3 linked regions of the Ovis aries genome follow. The protein of the gene in region 2 interacts with the protein of the main gene of each other region in a pairwise test. Links are inferred from orthologs where the notes say so. Each region holds a gene or a part of one and is shown on either strand. Other genes may lie near its edges. The genes, in order: NUP62, FABP3 and SHTN1.

Evidence for each region.
Region 1: the proteins of FABP3 (region 2) and NUP62 interact in binary tests that used the Homo sapiens proteins (3 or more experiments, as listed by UniProt). The two-hybrid records come from large-scale screens. The link is inferred for Ovis aries from reciprocal best matches to the Homo sapiens genes FABP3 and NUP62.
Region 3: the proteins of FABP3 (region 2) and SHTN1 interact in binary tests that used the Homo sapiens proteins (3 or more experiments, as listed by UniProt). The two-hybrid records come from large-scale screens. The link is inferred for Ovis aries from reciprocal best matches to the Homo sapiens genes FABP3 and SHTN1.

What each region holds. Positions count from the first base shown.
Region 1 is NC_056067.1:55,982,562-55,985,393, reverse strand, and holds part of NUP62 (nuclear pore glycoprotein p62), read left to right. Parts: intron 1-2,331; 5' UTR 2,332-2,394; coding exon 2,395-2,832. UniProt on the Homo sapiens protein: Essential component of the nuclear pore complex. The N-terminal is probably involved in nucleocytoplasmic transport.
Region 2 is NC_056055.1:236,034,002-236,038,234, reverse strand, and holds the start of FABP3 (fatty acid-binding protein, heart), read right to left. Parts: upstream 2,860-4,233; 5' UTR 2,796-2,859; coding exon 2,723-2,795; exon of another isoform or gene 1-2,722. UniProt on the Homo sapiens protein: FABPs are thought to play a role in the intracellular transport of long-chain fatty acids and their acyl-CoA esters.
Region 3 is NC_056075.1:36,865,622-36,869,270, reverse strand, and holds part of SHTN1 (shootin-1), read left to right. Parts: intron 1-1,942; coding exon 1,943-2,111; intron 2,112-3,649. UniProt on the Homo sapiens protein: Involved in the generation of internal asymmetric signals required for neuronal polarization and neurite outgrowth.

The sequences.
Region 1 (2,832 bases), on a different chromosome or scaffold from region 2:
CGCCCCCGGACCACGCTTGTCTCAACCGGGAATGGGTCACATAGCCCAGGGCTCCGCAGGGCAGTGGTAGCCGACCGTGAGTTCACATTAGACTCAAGGCCAGCTACCACCACAGTCTTTTCCTGAGAACATCCCAGCTGGGTTGGATTCACAGACCCTCAGGGCTCCCTCCCTTGCTCCCTGGCTTCCAGAGGTGACAGTGCGGCGTGTGTCTGCATGGGGACCGTGGCCTTGAGCACCGCACCCTCCTGACTTGGCCACGCTCCAGGCCCGCAGCAGCCACTCCACTTTCCTGACGAGGGCGCTGGGTCTCAGGGTCCTCCAGAGTCACGGGGCTCCCCCCCGTACCCATCAGGCACTTTTGCTCCCCAGCTGTCTTCATTTCCTGTACTGCTCTCAACAGATATCACAAACTTAGCGGCTTGAAACGATGCACCTTCATTCTTTTGAAGTTGAGATCAGGGTCCAGAATCGGTCTCACTGGGCTGAAATCAAGGAAGGCTGGTTCCTTTTAGAGACTGCAGGGGAGAGCCGTTTCCTTGGCTTTTCCGGCTTGTAAAGGCCACCTGCACTGCTTGGCCTGTGGCGCCGTCCTCTGTCTCCCAAGTTCAAGGCACGTTACTCCAGCCTCCGCTTCCACCTTCTGGTGGTCTCTTCTCTAGTCCTGTCTCTGCCTCCGCATTTCAAGATCCTTAGTCACGTCTGAGAATTCCTTCTGCCACTTAGGGTCGTTGGCCCCAGGCTCCGGGCGGCGGGGCCTGCGTGTCTTTGGAGGGCCATGTTTGGTCCTGGTGTTGGTGTAACGTCCACGCGCTGGCTCCCCTGCTGCCTTCAGCACAGCCGCTGGGATCCAGCGCCGCCCCACAACCAAGACCAGATGTGGCTGAGTGCCAGCCTGGGGGAGGTGGTGTAATTCACCCCGTCTGTCCCGCTCATATTGTGATTCTAGAACCCGGCTGCACAGGTTCGCTGGTTCTTCAGCGTGGATTTACACTCGAGGATTGTTTTCAGAACCCTAGCTTATCAGTTATGTTTACTGTACAGGCAGGAATGAGCACTTGGAAGCTACTGCAGATTAGCAGGGAGGTCATCCGCGTGTAGTCCTGCATCTCGGTGTATTTCTTTCCAGCCCTCCTTGTTGAGGGTAGCTGTGTTTTTCCATAGCAGAGATCACACTGCTGTAGTGAATCTGTGTTCTGCTCCTCTCTGTTGTCATTCCCAGCGTTTCTTGAGTATAGTTAAGAGGCTGTATCGGTAGGATGCAGAGCTTGCCTTATATCTGATGCCCAGTTGACCCCGTAATTGGTGCCAGCGCTGGACGGGGCGCTTGGTGGATTGGGCCTGTGGCCTGGGCTCAGCTCCTAGTAGATCACCACAGCCCCCTGAGTCCCAGTTTCCTCATCTTGGACGTGGGGACACCATCTCCACCTCCAGACAGCAGTGAGATGTCATTTACGTGAGCAGCCCGCCAGCAGGCAGTGCTTAGCCTGTGATCACTTCCCTGAAAATGCCTCTACCCAGGACGCCCTCCAACTCTTTCTTCTCCAAGTCACCTTTGACTCTGCAGCTACCAGATAGCTTTGCTCAGGGCTTTTTCAGATAAAAAGCGGTCACCTTTCACTGAACAGGGATGTGCTGGCTCCCCGAGCTTCTAATGAAGACCAGGTGGGGTTGCTGAGCAGGACCACGGTTTCTGGCGGCTCTCTCACTCTCTGCCCTTTCCTGCTCTCCTCTCTGCTCTCTCTGGCGGCGCTCACTGTCCCCCGATGCTCATCCTCCGTGCCCTGCACCTGCAGGTGGGGCGGTCTCTTGGCCAGCCTGAGTTTCCACGGCCCCTTGAAACCAGTCCCTGCGGCCAAGCACCAGGTGCTCTGAGCACTGCGCCCGCGTGCTCTCTCTCCTCCTAAACCGGCTCGGGGTGTGCCCAGAGGGAGCCTTTGGCACCCAAGGCCCTGTCGTAACTCAGCTTCCCGGGGCCTGTCTCTGAGGTCCAGAGGGACTCTTGGGGTGGTGCCAAGTCAGCCTGCCCCTCACCCATGTGCAGTCAGCAGGGAGAAAAGCACCTCTTCAGCCTCCCCTGCCACAAGCAGTGGGCCTCCTGCTGGTACTGACTCTGCTAGACCCCCCAGGGCGGGGGCCTTACGTCCTTGCCCATCTTTCCTAGTTCAGCAGGGCCTGGTTAGGTTCCACAGCAGGAAGAGGAGTGGGAGGCCGCTTATCAGACTTGAGGCCTACCTCCCTGCAGACTGAGCTCCATCAGGCCGCTGAGGTGGTTTTTCCAGATGTGCCGTCTGATCATGTCACTTCCTCTGCTTTGCAAATCTTCCCAAGGTTGCAGACACCGGTGGATTTGCTTTGGAGCCGGAGTAGCTGCTGCCCCCAGAGTCTGGAGCCATGAGCGGGTTTAATTTTGGAGGCACTGGGGCCTCCACAGGAGGGTTCACATTTGGCACCACAAAGACCGCAACGACCACGCCTGCCACGGGCTTTTCTTTCTCCACGTCCGGTACTGGTGGGTTTAGCTTTGGGACTCCCTCCCAGTCGGCTGCCAGCACCCCTGCCACCAGCCTGTTCTCACTCAGCACCCAGACTCCCGCCACACAGACCCCGGCCTTCAGCTTCGGGACCACGACGCCTGCAGCAGGAGCCACCGGATTTTCCTTAGGGAGCAACACCCCGAAGCTGAGCCTGGGCAGCACGGCCCCAGCCCCGGCCCAGCCCGGCGGCTTCGGGCTCGGGGGCAGCACGCTCAGCAGTGCCGTCTCCAGCGCCAGCACCAGCACCTCCGCCCAGGGCGCGGCACCCGGCGGCTTTGTGTTTGGCTCCACCGCA
Region 2 (4,233 bases):
AAGAGAGCGTGCAACAAAGAGCCCTGCAGGTCATGGTTTCCCTCATAGCTGGCCTTTTGCCTCCAACTTCCCCTTCCAACAGTCTCTGCTGAGCTATTCTCCAAGGGCAGAGGCTTTGGTGAGGTGGTGGGTGGAAAGTCCCTGATATGCCTGGCTTCACGGGTGGTTTTACTTAATGTTTATAAGAGCCCTGAACTGTTGGCTTTATTATCCCCAATTTACAAACGAGGCTTTGAGAGTGAAGTGACTTGTCCAAAGTGAAAGGATGAGTGGTTTATCTAAATTTGAATTTAGGCTCCAAAACTGCACTATTCCTCTTGGGCCACCCTGTCTCCCAGCATGCACTTCATCGAGGTCCTGAGCCCGCCAAGTGTGCCACTTGGCGGCACTAACTGACACTGACACTAATTAGGCTGGGCCTCTTCGTCCTCCGAGAACTTTTGGTTTAACAAGAGAGGCTCAGGCACCCTTGGCAGCTGTGCTGCTGCTGGCCCACCCTGCCTAGCCACTGAGGGATTTGGCCTTGCCCCCTGTTATCAGGGGCTTCCCAGGTGGCGCATGGTAAACAAAAAATTTGCCTGCTAATGAAGAAGATGCAAGAGATGCAGGTTCAACCCCTGGGTCAGGAAGATCCCCTGAAAAAGGAAATGGCAATCCACTCCAGTATTCTTGCCTGGAAAATCCCAAGGACAGAGGAATCTGGTGGGCTACAGTCCATGGGGCCGCAGAGTCGGACACAACTGATCACGCACCTGTTATCAGAGTGAGTCAGGCTAATCCCACTCCCCAGCACAGAGCAGGACCTTGTCACTGCGCAAGGAGCTCTGTTTACTTAGGACCTACCCAGAGGTGTGGAGTGTTTGAGGAAGGAAGGCACTGTGGAGTCAGTGAGGGACTGAGCTAAGAGCAAGTTACAGAATTAGGAGACCTGGGAAGAGACAGATTCCACTTAGAAATGAAGCTGAAGCTATTTACTAAGAGCTGAGGAGGGTCTTTTCTCCCCTTAGGCCTCTCATTTTTTTCCATCTGTACAACAAGCAGGCTGGGTGGATTCTTAGACCTAACCCAAGTTGGGGCAAAATAAGGGAGCAAGGGTGGTAAGGATGGTGCAACTCACTTCAGGGACCTAGGTCTTCAGTTCTAATGTCTGCTAGGAGAGACTGGGGATTCAGGGTGTGGAGCTAGCTCTGGGCATCCTATCTTCCCTACCAACTGCCTTGGGCCTCCTACTTCTCTAAGAATTATTGCCTTCCTGGAGCCATTGGGCATAGTGCTTAGCATAGAGGGGCAGTTGAGCACTTTGGCCTCAAAAGTCAACACTTGTGCTTATTTCAGGGGTCAGGAACAGGTGGGAAGTGCCTGGGGTTGAGCCCCCATCCCCTCCCTCCTTGGTTAATTGCTGTAATCCAGCTGTCCCCTGGGAGGAAGGCATGGAACCTACCTCAACCATGAACATTCCAGTTTTCCCCATCCCAGCTTGGGGAACTGGGATAATCTCATAGTTGGAGATTCCAGAGAAGGAATGTGACCTTCTCCCTCTAGCCCGTATCAGAAGGGGAAGGGCTGAGGTCAATGATGAATTAAGCAGTTCTTATTACTCCCACCCCCAGGGCCTATAGTGGGAACTGCTCTGAGTTGTCGGGATTTAGAAATCTAGGTATTCACATCAGCTCTGCTGTGGAATTGATTTGACAAGTTTCTACTCTTCTGGATCTTGGCTTCTCCATCTGTTGAAGCAAGGCATGGGGATCTCTGGAGTCCTTCTCTGCAAGATTCTTTGAATCTTCATTCTCCTCCATCCTGGCACCACACCCTCCTAGGCCAAAGACCCTCCCTGCTGTTACTAGCTCTTGGCTTTGCTTCAGGCCTCTTTGCTTTACCCCCTAAACAGATACTTTTCCCAGTGAGCAAGTTATCCTTGGGCTGCAGCTGATGATGGGGCCTTTTGCCCTACCCTACCACTAGGCTGGTTGGTGAGAAAGGGCAACCTCTAGCAACAATCCTTTACCCTAACTAACCCAACAAAGAGGAACAGAGGTTCTTGTTAACTCTGCAGGCTCATCTTACCTCCTCAAAGCCTGTTCACAGCTGTTCCCCCTTCCATCTTTCTCCTGGGGACTACCTACTTTATACCTTAGGACACTTCCCATCCATTCTATTCCCTTTCATGGTTCAGTTTCCAGTTCCTAAACTGCCCATGTTTCGTTTCTTTTCCTCCCTCCTCACCTTCAATCAGTGCTCCTCTTTTACTCACACCCCTGCCTCCAGATCCTAAGCCCTAATTCCTCGAAAGTGCCTCCCTGCCCCTCGACATCGACCGACACAGCGGCCCCCTGGCGCCTCCTTGCCTGCGAATTTCTCTGACCAAGTTCAGATCGTTAAAGTCCCCTCCCAGCATTCCCTGGCGGTCCAGTGGCTGGGGCTCCGCGCTTCCACTGCAGCGGGGCAACCGTTCATCCTGGAATGGGGAACTAAGATCCCACATGTGTCGCGGGGAGGCAAAAAAAAAAAAAAAAAAAAAGCCCCCTCCCAACAGGCCTCGCATGCCCTAGCCCAGGCTGCCACCTTCTCCGCGTCTCCTGGCTCCCCATCCTTGACCAGGAGGGATGCAGCAGGCATACAGGATCTAGCCAGGGCTAGAGAACTGCTCCGATCGGGCACGCGGCCAGCCCCTCCCCAGCACAGCATCCATCCCAAGCCCAGCATCCCGAGCCGTCCTCACCGAGTGACTTCATGTAGTCATCGAAATTCTTGCTGTCCACTAACTTCCAGGTACCCACGAAGGCGTCCACCATGGTGAAGCTGGGCTAGGTCGGGAAAGAGACGACAGAGAACGCGTGCAAGGACGCTGGGACCAGCAGCTCCCAGCCCGCGCTGCCGCTTTAAAAGGCCCCTGTGTCACGTGACGGGGCGTGGCCCACACCCCCGGGCCCGAAATAGGAAGCCCCAAGCAGGCCCTCTCTCGCCCCGGGCTGGTCGCCCATCCCCCAATGCTACCAGCGGCGAAGTGGCAGCCGGTGGCGCCCAGTTTGCCTACGTCAGCGCGGGTCCCGGGCTCCGAGTCCCTGCCCCGGGCTGGTAAGCCCTGCTCCCTTCCCTGGCCTCAAGGCGCTCTTCGGAATCTGAGAAGGAAGCAGTTGGGGGCACGGTGTCCGCGAGCTGGGGCGCAGGCCACCGACATCCGTCCCCTGGTCCTTCTCCGAGCTTGGGGTCAGAACAAAGATGAGAAACCAGAGGAGAAAGGAAACTCGCCCTTGGGCATGATGCCCACGCCGGGAAAGCGCTGGCCGACTCTTGGCGGCGCTGGCATCATCTCGATCTTCATTTTACAGGTGAGGGGAGCCAAGATTCAGCGTGGGGCTGACAAGTTCGCAGGAAATAAAGAGACGGTGAATGGGGAGTCCAGATGGCGAGCCTGGTCTAGCTGGTCCCAGACCCCGTGCTCTCCCACCGCTCCCCACTCTGCCCGATGGCGGGGAGAGGCAGCGGGGGCAACGTGTGCCCTCTGCTCGCCCCCAGCAAAAGCGTGACCCTGTCCGTCGCCCCGCGTCTGCCCCACACGTGCTCGCCCCTCCCTGCGGAATGTCTACCGCGCGCCTTTCCGCCCAGCTGTCCAGCTCCCCCTCCACCCTGCCCGTGCGCCAGGCTTTTCTGACCTGTGCGCAACAGCTCCGAGCCTTTGCTCCTGTCGGCCGTTGCCTCCTCACTCTCCTTTCGAAATGCCCGTCCTTTTAGCCGGCTCTTCAAGGCTCAAGGACAGCTCCGTTCTGCCTGACTGCCGCTGGCCCCCAGCTGTCGTCCTTTCTCTGACCTTCCACCGGCAGTCAGCCTTCCACAGGCAGCCTGTACTTTCAGAGACTGTCGTTAATCTACCTTGTTTGACACTACACTTTCCAAAGCACTTTTAATAATAAGATCCACCTTGTGTTGTTTTTTTGCATGCTGGGGGCTTTAAGTGCATTGTCTGATTGAACTTTTAAAACCAAGTTCCTGAAGTAGGTGTTATTATTATCCCTTTTACAGAGGAGCAGACTTGAGGTTTAGAGGAACCCTTCCTTCTTTTAATCTAACAGTTATTAAAGCACTTACTTTGTGCCAGGCCCTGGGCTAGGCTCAGGAAAGACAACTGGGAACATGACACACACTTACGAAGGAAAAGGCAAAACGGAAGGGAATGGTGCCCAACTGCACTTGAGCCAGTGGAGATCCACAGGGTGGGGCCTAGGAGCCCTG
Region 3 (3,649 bases), on a different chromosome or scaffold from region 2:
CCATATCAATTATTCTTAGTGTTGATGTACATTTGAATCACCTGGGAAACCCTGAAGAAGTACTATGCTGGACTCTATTGCCAGAGATTTTTGGCCTGGTGGGAGGGCCTGCTTCCTCAGGTCAAATATGGGAAGTTTTTTTTTGTTTTTTTTTAAACTCTACAGATTGTAATGTGCTGGGCTGGGAACCATTTGTTTATTAGGAGGCAGAATTACAAATTAGCTCTTGAGTTTTTCCACTCTTTTCTTAAATTATTCTTTTTTCCCTGCATTCTGAAAAGATATCATCCTTTGAGAATTGACAGTGATCCTTGAGCCTCTAGTGCCGTGCTCTAGCATCGATGTTCAAAGAAGCCACGACAGTGCTTACTTGAATTGTCCATCTGAAGGAGGAGGGACTGGGAAATCGTAGGTCTCTGATCATATTTCTGATCCTCTCCTGTGATATGGAGAGCTAGAAGCTGGAGCTATATCTGGGGACTGGGAGTAAAAGTCTGTGCCTGATTCTTTGAATGGATCTCGCCAGCCTTCCCAGGAAGAATCCAGGAAAGAGTTCATAGCCATTCCTGAGTGATCCTTCCTGATTCCCCAGAGAGGTCAGGGACCCTCTTGTGTTCCAGCCCTTGCTAGTGATATGGGCTGGGCTTTCTCTGAGAGAAATCCTGAGGGGTCCTAATCATGATGACAAATGAAGGACCAAAGCCAGACAAGTGCCATACTAAACATCTTATTCTGGTGTAAGGTTTACATGGAGAAGGGCCTTTAGTGTTCTGGTGAAATATTTCTATTTGTATTTATATTCAGTGTCAGTTATTAAATTCAGAACTTGTTTTGATGGCCAACAGCCCTTACTAACTGCAAGCACATTACTGTATCTTACATTTTATACTAGAGAAAGCAATCTACTAAACACTTCCTACTTAAATAAGAAGATCTTTCATATTTGAGTCTTGGGAATAAAGCAAAATCATATTTTCCTTCAGTGGACTTTGGATCAGGTTTAGTCTTTATGTGTGCTTTGTATAACATTTATACGCACATGAATACAGGAGCTAAAGAAGGTAATGATAATTAACAACCAACTCATTTTTTTACATAAAGGGCGTGCTAAATACATCAGTGAATTAGGTTTGCTTTATCTGCAATGACATAGAGATAATAGAAACATAGCTTGAACTTTCTTCTGTTGTGTATCATTAGAATTCTAGGAATAGACAGAAACATGATTTGAATTAGTTTAAGCAAGAAAAGGGGGAAAAAAGTAGGAGTTTGTTCAGAGCGATATTGGAGAATCCCATAGAATCCATGAGCTGGTCGCATTTTAGGAATAGACTGGAACCCTGTGGGAAACCCAGTGTCTGTTGCTTTTCTCTGTCTCTGCACAGTGGCTCCATTTTGGCCTTGCTGCAGACTGCCTTTCTCTATTCCTCAGTTGAGTCGTGTGGTGTGGTTGCCAGTAGCTACTGTACATCCAGACACATGGACAGGAGTTCCTGTCCAGGAGAACAGGAATTGCTTTGGGAGAACTTGGCTGTTCCAGAAATTGTGTGGAACATGAAGAGGCCAGTGGCAGTGTCTCAAAAACAGGGAGTGTGGGACAAACACATAAAAGGTGTTCACAGCACAGCATCAAACCAAATAAAGTGTCTTAAATTAGGACTATTAATGACTGGATAAATTGAAATTCGATATAATCTATTCTGGTGTTTTATCTTAATTCTTCTTGTATTTATCCGTTATAACTAGCATTTTCACATGTAAGGCATAGGTCTTAATTAGTTTAATGTTAAAAAGTATAAATAAAATAATCTTTAGTGACTCTTCTGTTTCATGCTGTGAATGTTGATGCATGTGTAGACAGAAAGACACTTAATTTGACTGTTGTATAAAAACCCAAGACACTCATTTGCTATTAAAATAACTGTCTTTATATTTGCCTTAGTTAAATAAAGAAAATAAAGCATTGAAAAGAATCAGCATGTTATACATGGCCAAGCTGGGACCAGATGTAATAACTGAGGAGATTAACATTGATGATGAAGATTCAGCCATGGACCCGGAGGATGTTGCCAAGACTTGTGTCTCAGTACAGTGTCAGAAGCAGATCAAAGGTAGGATTCCTGGCTTAATTATTGAACATGGTTTTGACTTCTATTAGGATAATGCTTCTCAACCCTGGTTGCACATTGAAATTACATAAGGATTTCAATAAATACTGATGCCTGTGTCCTTTTTTGGAAAAAAGTTCTGATTATTTGTCCCCGAGGGTAGTCTGGTTGAGAATCATGATGACTGTAGCTTTATGAGTTACTTTCTTGTTTGGGATTAGATACTTTTGAAAGCGCCATCTTGACAGGAACAGTCAGTTAACCTATACATGTCTTAAGGATAGGACTGTGTGTTAAGATATTTTTGTTAAATGAAAGAAAGAATGAATAAAGATTTATTTGGCCAACACCTTCTGTTAGTCGGATTTCTCTGTTGAAATCTTTGGGGAAGATACCTCCCGAAATTGCTTTGTCTCTGCCCTCTAAGAACTTCTCCTAAGATTCAGGCAATGAACTAGAAGCAATATGTAGTATTAAGCAACTGTGTTGGTCCCCAAATGATTCTATAAGACAAAACCACATAATACATCTGTGAAGTACACATTAACTCTTTTAATAAATAAACACACACATATAGTTTAGGATGTAGGAAAACAGTCTAGGGCTTGGTAATTATTGGAGCATTTTAACTTACTGTATATGTCAAGAATAATATTTGTTGGTCTGATAGATAAAACTTCAGTTGGAAATATAAAGAAGAAAGTAAAAAGAAAGCCATTTTAACCCTGTGTGTGCTCAATTGCTAAGCCGTATTCAACTCTTTGTGATGCCATGGACTGACCACAGCCCACCAGGCTCCTCTATCCATGGGCTTTCCCAGGAAAGAATACTGGAGTGTGTTGCCATTTCCTCTTCCAGGGGATCTTCCTGATCCTGTAATTGAACCTGCGTTTCCTGCATCTCCTGCCTTGGCAGGGAGATTCCTTAACCACTGAGCCACCTGGGAAGCCCCTGTTACCCTCTCACCTAAGAAAAAATTGTATTTATGTTGGCAGGAATGGGGAGAGGAAGTTTAAAGGCTTTCCTTTTGTTTCTATTTCTCCTTTCTGTTAGATCTTGAATAGTATGGTCTCTGATTCTTTTTCAAGATTAGTCTGGCAGTGGAGAAAGTGGTTTTGAAATAAGTGTCTTGAGAGCCCCTTCATTAATCTGGGTTCATGTAAAAAGTTTGATTTAATTTATTAGTAAATAACCATATAGAGCTTGTCTTATTGTCCTTGGAGAAGGGTAAGAAATTAAAAGCACTTAAAAGCTAAGTGGCAAAACTATGTGGGCCTGGGTATAAATTTAAGTACTGTGCTAGTCCATGTATTTTTTATTTTTTTAACATTTGAGCAGTAGAAGTAACTTTAATATAACACCAGAAGCTTTTGCTCTTATAGTGCCTAATATTTTTACTCTAGTAACACAGTTTTCAGTTAATCTCAATAATATGAAATATGAAATAAATTAAGAAACAAAACACCCACAACTCTGGAGAGAAAATTATTAGAATTAACCCTTTTTCAAATAGGTTATATTTTGAGTCAGTTCAAATAATA